2 linked regions of the Mus musculus genome follow. The protein of the gene in region 1 purifies or fractionates together with the protein of each later gene. This does not show direct contact. Links are inferred from orthologs where the notes say so. Each region holds a gene or a part of one and is shown on either strand. Other genes may lie near its edges.

Region 1 (4,306 bases):
AAACAGAAAGAGAGAACCACTAAGCCCACACACCTTCAGTCCCAGCATTCAGAGGCAGGGGAAGTCCCTCTTGAGTCTGAGGCCAACCTGGTCTATACAATGAGTTCCAGGCTAAGCAGGGCTATATAGAGACACCCTATGTAGTAGTAATAGTAGTAGTAGTGGTGGTAGTAACAACACTATCTAAACAACAATAATAATAATTAAAATTTAAAAAGAAAAAGAAAACTGGGGATTGGGGCTGCTGGGATAGAACTGTAGGTCCCTGGCCAACCTGAGTAATTTGGTGAGCACCTGTCTCAAAAAGTAAAAAAAAACAGTACCTCTGTAATAAGGGCTTGCCTGGCTTGCCTGAGGCCCTGGATTCAACCCAGCACTACATAAACTGGAGTAATCCCACCACTCTAGTGGGCAGTAGCAAGAGGTGGAGATAGGAGAATCAGAATGTAAGGTCATTCTTGGCTGGGATACTGAAATCCTATCTTGAAAGAAAGAGAGAGAGAGAGAGAAGAAAAAGAGGAAGAAGAGAAAGTTGCTGGCTAGAAATGTAGCTCAATGGCCCAGGCAGAACCCTGTATTCAACGTTCAACACCAAGAAGAAAACAGAAACCCCCACAAAACTCAAGGCTCCTCTCACCCTCGTTTTTGGGGTTCCCCAGGACCTTGAGCACCTCGGCGTTGGTAGGGTTCTGGCCCAGGGCCCTCATCAGGTCCCCACACTGGCTGTACAGGATCTTGCCATCACCTACTCGGTCAAACAGCTCAAAGGCCTCTCTGAATTCTGAGATGTAAGGAGAAGGCAGTGTGACCAAGGATCCCCATCACCAACAGAGAGAGGGAGGTTTGCTTCAGAAATTCATGTGCTAGAGCCAGGCATGGGAGGGAGGAGAACAGGACAAGTGTGGGAGGTTTCAAGGTCAGGACTGTCGTTAGAACAGAGAATCTGACCAGGAGTTTGGGGTTTGACAATGGGGCTTAGGAAATGGGCTTCTCCTCACCCTCCAGCTGGTCCTTGTTAAACTCGATCTGTAGGGGACAAAAAGGGCAGGTGAGGAGATGACAGGGCTTATTCAGTCCCTCTCTATCACAACCAACTGGCAGCCACTTCTGGGGAGGGACCCAAAGGGATGAAGGCGGGGAGCCGGGCCACTTCAGTCCTGTCCCCAGCTCTGGGCCTTGGGAGAATCCCAAGAGGAATTACAGGGGGAGGGTTTCTTGGGAACAGGGTTAATCCCATGCCACCTGTTCCCTTCCCTCCTGCTACCCCGAGTCCTGCATCCCTCACATAACTGGGGGCTGAACAAAGGCTAAATTTACCCCTGCCCCCAGCTGTGATTGTCTAACAAGCCTGCCCTCTTCAGTCTCCCCTCCTGGGGTTCAGAGATGTAGCCTTCTGAGTTGAACAGAAGAGCCAGAGGCAGACAGCACCCCTCTCCCTTCACTTCGGAAACTGGCCTGACCTGGGAGCCCCAACCTCATTCCAGCGTTCATTCATTCCCTATCCTTTCCACATATTCCCGGATACCCAAGGCTGCACCGCATCTCTGAACTATCCCTTCCAGATTCACACTTCCCCAGGACTCACCACCACTTTGGAGAGATCAACAGGGGGCTCCTGGGATTTTGCAGGTGCCTGGGGGGCAGCCGGCTCAGCCTTGGCCTTGGCTAGAGGGGTCCCTGGTGTAGACTTGGCAGCAGGCTTAGAGATGGAGGGCCCTGCTGGTTTCTTCACGGGAGCATCCTTCTTGGGAGGCATGATGTCAGGTGGCCAAAGAACAATGTGCTGATGGGGGCACCCATCTCTGTTTAAATAGGCAGGGAGTCTGGGATGTCAAGGGGCGGGGGCAGCAGCAGGGACAGGGAGCCAGTTGGCAAGGGTGAGGGGGAAGAGACTTATGCCTGTCTGCCCTCACTCCCCTGGCCTCCTATGGTTCAGGACTCCTGCCCCCAAAGTTTTCTTCCCTCTGATACCACTCTCCTACAGCTGAATAGAATGTTTTCTTTAAGGGTACAGAGAAGAAACACGAGACCTGTCAGAATAGGGATTGTTAACCTCCAGGGTGAAGATAGGATGTTTGCCAGTGATTCTGAGATAGGAGCTAAGGGGAGAAAGAAGAAAACTAAAGTAGAAAAACAAACAAAAACTTGCATTAGTTTTAGACCGTGGGAAAGCCCAAGCAAAGCAAGGGCTTGGGGTGGAGTCGGGGTAGAGGGGTGGGGGGCTGGTATCAGGTGGGAAGTTTTAAAATCTGTTCTGGAAACAGTAAAAGGTGAGAGGAGGCCTTTGCACTCCCTTCTGTCTTTTCCCGTATCCTTAGAACTTGTAATCCCTGGGCCCCCACCTACCCCCAACCTTAAACTATGCACAGTAACTCGAGCGTGTTATTACCCACTGACTTCTATACCTAATGTTGGTTTAGGGGTTCCAGTGTAGGCAAGGCTTAACATCTGTCACACATAATTCCAAAGAAGGAACATTTTTCAACAAGACAATGTTATTCAAATCAAACAAAAGGCTATAATGCCTAGTGAGCATGGAGGGAACACACACACACACACACACATGGAGGGGGCCCTGGGAGACAAAGAGCCCCCTAATAACCCAAAAGGTTACAGGACCTCCAAAGGAGTTCATAGGTATCCACACGGACACACCATTGGTCAGGATCACATCAAAAACCTTAGCTGAGCTTTGAGTCACAAACCTTGCTGGAAGCGCTGATGAAGGGAAAAGATGATGTTTGGGAGCTAGGAGGTTCTGGCTACTCTGTTCTTGGATAAAGAAGAATTACATGGCATTCTGAGAGACTGGTCATTCCACTTAGGCCCTGGAGTTCGCAGAGTAGCAGTGGGTCTCCCATTTGCAAAAGGGCGTCAGAATCTTTTTACTGCAAATTGTCCCATTTTTGGAAAATAAAGAATCCTTCCTAAACAAAACGCCCGTTTCCCTCACTTTCACTCACTCCTAAGCCCTAGAGAGGAAAAAGACCCTCCCAGCCCCTCAAAACTCACCTTGCCGGGTCCGAGGAAGGGGCAGGTGGGGGGCGGGACTCAGGGCAGCTCCTGTCCCTGAAGGGTTAAGTGCGGCTGCCGCAGAGCATGCTGGGAGTCGTAGTCCGCGAGCACCCGCAGGCTCACAGGAAACCTTTTCCCAGCCGTGAGAGTTGGTGGTGACTTCCGGCCCCTGGTGACAGTTGGTGACTCAGGTCCTGAGGCGTGCGCCGGTTCCGGAATTGAAAGGGCCTGAGCTGTCCCCACCCATGACCCTGCGGCTGCAGACCCACAGACGCCCGCAAGGCTAGGGGCGGGGCCGGCCCGGGCGGTGGGAGGGGCCGGGCGGTGGGCGGGGCGGCAGCGGGGGCTTCCTCAGGCTGTTAGCTGCGGAATGGTGTAACTTGGCAGAGTTTTGCGTTTTATTTATTTATTTATTTATTTATTTATTTATTTATTTATTTATTTCACATTTGATAGTGGTCGAAAGACTGACTGAAGTAGATGTTAAGATTTACAATTTAGCCTGGCCATCTGCTTCCACTCTCCTCCTTGTGGAGGCGTCTGCTGAGGCCGCCAATGCACCGCGGTCTCCCCCCCCCGAGATACCCAACAAATGCAACGCTGGGCTCTGCAGTCCTTCTTTACCTTTCCGACACCATTGCCCAGCCTGAGTATTTGCACTTTCTCCCTGGAGTTTAGCAAATGTCTGAGTGCAGAGAGGGAACCGGCCCACCGTCCCGAAACAGACGAATAAATAACTCTGGCGGCGCGCCTCATACTAGAGCTTGTGCAAGCAAGTGGACCAGAAATAGCTCAGGGTAGAAGACTCCCAGCGGCGCCATAGGAAGAATGAGGCACAAGCCAATTTTGTACCCTGAAACGGACATTCCCCGGCTGGAAAAAGCTTGAGTAAAAAGGTCTGTACGGGTGCAAGGGATGTAGCACAGTTGGTTGCACAAAGCTCTGGGTCCCAGCACTCAGGAGGTGGAGACAGGAAGAATCAGATGTCTTTGGGACGTAGGGACTTCGGGCCAGCCTGAGCTACATAAGATCCAGTTTCAGAGCAGAAAGGGAAGGGACGCCTGAGAGCTTGTCTTAAACTAGAAAGCAAGAACAAGAAAGCAGTCTTGGTGATAACACAAATGTAATCCCAAGTCGGGGGGTGAGGGGGGGGGGGGGACAAACGAGCCTGGGCTATACAGTGAGACTCAAAACAACAGTGAATAAGGGCTGAAGTTAGAGCTGGCTGGCAGAACAATTGTCTACAACCGTTCAGGTTCTGGGTTCAGTCTCCATCACCATTAAAAAGGAT
Region 2 (3,808 bases), on another chromosome or scaffold:
CCACCATGCCCAATCTAACTGCTTAATTTGATTTTACAGTGCAAAACCATCCCAGAACAAGTCGCTTTTCAAAGTAATCGCTGTTAAGACTAACTAGCTTTGCAAAACCAAAAGTAAGACAGCATCTGTTCTGTGTGGTTGTCTTGAAAATAAATAAAAGAATATAAAATAAAAAGGGCTGAAAACGTGGTAATATTCAAAATTCCAAATTCTGGCTGGCATGAAAGGAGGTCACTTTACTGACTGTTATCACAGACCCCAGTCCCAGCAGCAAAAGCAGATCTGTGAGCACTGGACACCGAACAATTATACATGGTAAAAATAAGTGTGAGTCTTACTGTCTGCGGGTAGGAGAGGGGACGCAATCTGTCATAATCTTCTTGTCCAGCTGTGTCCCATAGGCCCAGATTCACTGGTTTTCCATCTACCATAACATTGGCAGAATAGTTGTCAAAGCTGCAGGAGGACAAGGAAACATTAGCCACAGAACAGGGACTAAGTCATAGTCCCCAGGTTCCCAAAGGAGGTCTGCTGTGAGGGAAGAGGATGGACCTAGAGGCTGCTGCTGGTCCAGAAAACACCGCTGAGGTACGGGAAGTCCCTGGAGGCCGGAGGACACAGGGCATCAGCCTTACTCACACCAGGCAGGGAGAAACAAAGGTCAGGCTACTAACTTACAAGGAGACAAACCCCACCTTTAATCAACAGTGTTTTCTCTGCATGAAAAAGACAACTGGGAGGAGTCCCTCTTCCCAATCCCACCTGGCTAGTTCCTCTGACACATTCTGCTCACTCTCAGCTGGTGTGCTCAGTTGGCGCACACAGCAGAGCCACCTGGATCTGAGGCCCAGGGCTGCAGAATAGCAGCACACTGGAACTTCAGAAGCCACCCAGGCTCTCAGAGTGAGGGCACCTGACCACAGAAATGCATCCGTTAGCCTAGAATTGCTACACACAAATTAGTTATTAGTAAGAGGCAACTCAGAAAAGACTACCAACTAATCAGCAAGAGGAAAGTCATTAAAGGGTTGTAATCCCAGCATTAAGAGCCTGAGGCAGGAGGATCATAAGAGTCCAAGTTCACTTTAGGTTACAGAGCAAGACTTTGCTCTCAGGCAACAAAACAGACCTCAGAACAACAAAAAAGTCTACGCTATTACTACTCTTCAAAAAACAAACCAAAACCAAGAGCATGGAGCAGGTCAGGAATTGAAGGCTAGCCTAAGCTACACAATACCATCTCTCAAAAATAAAAAATCCACTGCAATTTAAAACAAGACAATATCGTCATTTTTTTTTTGTTGGCGTGTATGTATGCATAGCACATGTATATCTGGTGCATATGGAAATCAAAAGAAGCGTATTGGCTGGTTTTGTGTCAACTTGACACAGCTGGAGTTATCACAGAGAAAGGAGCTTCAGTTGGGGAAGTGCCTCCATGAGCTCGAGCTATAAGGCATCTTCTCAATTAGTGATCAAGGGGGAAAGGCCCATTGTGGGTGGTACCATCCCTGGGCTGGTGGTCTTGGGTTCTATAAGAAAGCAAGCTGAGCAAGCCAGAGGAAGCAAGCCAGTAAGTAACATCCCTCCATGGCCTCTGCATCAGCTCCTGCTCCCTGACCTGTTTGAGTTCCAGTCCTGACTTCCTTTGGTGATGAACAGCAATGTGGAAGTGTAAGCTGAATAAACCCTTTCCTCCCCAACTTGTTTCTTGGTCATGATGTTTATGAGGAATAGAAACCCTGACTAAGACAGAGGGCAACACATCCCTTGAAAGTGGAGCTTCCACATGGGTGCTGGGAACCAAACCCAGGTTCTCTGAAAGAACAACCAGTGTTCTCAGCCACTGAGTCATTTCTCCAGCCCAAGACTAGCATCTTAAAACATGGATTTTAAGGCAAAAGGAGCTTTTTTTTTAAAAGATTTATTTATTTATTATATGTAAGTACACTGTAGCTGTCTTCAGATGCGCCACAGGAGGGCATCAGATCTCATTACAGATGGCTGTGAACCACCATGTGGTTGCTGGGATTTGAACTCAGGACCTTTGGAAGAGCAGTCAGTGCTCTTACCCGCTGAGCCATCTCTCCAGCCCCAGAAAGGGGCTTTTTGTTTCACTGGTTTTTGTCTTATTATTTGTAGTACTTAAAAACAGGGGCTCTTAGTGTAAAAGTCAAGTTTAAGCTAGTGTGACTTACAGACTGTACTGAGCAAAGCAACCTTTATAAGGATGGTGGAGTGATGTGTATTGGAAGGCAAGGTAAGAGTGCAAAGTCAGCCTCGGCTCTATGGTGAAGCCCATTGGTCTCCCCAAGGCGAGCCTCCAAGGGTGCACTGGCTGCAGACAGAGGACAGCACAATGTGTGTAGCACAATGAGGCTCCAGCAAGCCATCAGTGAGAAAAGCACTTGTTCTTCCCACCCAGTGGGGCTGCCCATACACAATCAGCAGCCCTGAATCCATACCCTAGCCCAACTCTACAGCTCTCAGTGTGACATGGAACCACCTGATAACTTGGCAGAGGGTCAGCTACCTCTAATGCAACACTGTGCACCAGTTCCCAGAGCCAAGTCAGCAGACTGCTGTGCTCAAGCTCTGGGCTTTACACTCCCCAGCCTATACACTTCATGGTATCATTTTCTTTTGTTTCCTAAGAATCAATCAGGAAACTGACTTTTCCCTCCTATGAGGAAATCATACATTAATTGGCTCATTTTTTAATTTGAAGTTCCAAACCACTAACAATTCTCTCTCAGTCGCTGATTCAGAGGGAAATAAACACTAACGCTCCCACGGCAAGTTGGTCGCAGGCGAGGAGGATACTCACACGGTGGGGATGTACTCTCCAGGAAATGCATTGGTCGTGTAACTGATGAGCAGGCAGGTTTTACCAACAGCTCTGAAAGAAGAGAAAAGGCTGCTTAGTCAGCGCGCACAGTCCTGGCTCCCACTATCCCACCACAGCATTCTAGAAAAGACCAGGGAACAGCTATACCACATCCACAAGCATAATAAAGTTTATGTGACATTTAACACTCCGCACGTAGTTTCATCTTAAAAACCAAACCAAACCTCTGTATTCTCAGAAAGGCAGATTCAACAGGCTCCCTTTCTGCTAAGGTACCTGGTCAAGAAGTACTACGCACTGAGTACCAGACTCAGAAACGGCTAACACAAAGTTTCTTCTAGAACATCTTCCACTCTGATGACTACTAAGTAACCATGGCTGCTCTGCAACATGAACTGTTACTGCCTGCCGGTGCCGCCTCTAGGTGGAATGCTGTGAACCACATGCCCTGCCCACAAGCCTGTCCCTCCCAGAGCACAGGCAGTTAAGCAGCCACAGGGCTCTCACACTCACAAGCTGAGAAAGATCCTAACATGTCAACGAGGGGCACAGGGATGGAATAAACTTCCTGAACAGCTAAGACAGAAAAGAAGAAATGTACAAAAGTAAACACATTAAGGGGACAGACATTACTAATATTCTCCCGAGGCAGGAGTTAGGGTACTGTCTGAAAAGCTCTGAACCACTTGGAATAGTTTTCAGAATATTACTAAAAATAAAAATATATATATAAATAAAATCTCTTAAATTTCCTCCCACAGACCCTAACTGACTTGAGGGACATCTGGAAGGTTCAGTTCAAACAGTTCTGTGTGCTGAGCCCTGCTCCCTGCCGCCTTCTGCTGCCTTACTAAGGTCAGGACGGTGCTGGTACTGACTTGCAAGGCTGCACTGTTCAGCACAGGCCACTGTAGACTGAGGCTCACTATCCAAAGGCAATCTTCACACTTTCCTTCCACA

Evidence for each region.
Region 2: the proteins of Myl6b (region 1) and Rac1 purify together in Homo sapiens (affinity purification with mass spectrometry; 3 studies listed by BioGRID and IntAct, with this or other methods). This does not show direct contact. The link is inferred for Mus musculus from reciprocal best matches to the Homo sapiens genes MYL6B and RAC1.

The regions. Positions count from the first base shown.
Region 1 is NC_000076.6:128,495,616-128,499,921, forward strand, and holds the start of Myl6b (myosin light chain 6B), read right to left. Parts: upstream 3,071-4,306; 5' UTR 3,013-3,070; intron 1,803-3,012; 5' UTR 1,757-1,802; coding exon 1,586-1,756; intron 1,027-1,585; coding exon 999-1,026; intron 782-998; coding exon 638-781; intron 1-637. UniProt on the Homo sapiens protein: Regulatory light chain of myosin. Does not bind calcium.
Region 2 is NC_000071.6:143,514,331-143,518,138, forward strand, and holds part of Rac1 (ras-related C3 botulinum toxin substrate 1), read right to left. Parts: intron 2,900-3,808; coding exon 2,828-2,899; intron 457-2,827; coding exon 339-456; intron 1-338. UniProt on the Homo sapiens protein: Plasma membrane-associated small GTPase which cycles between active GTP-bound and inactive GDP-bound states.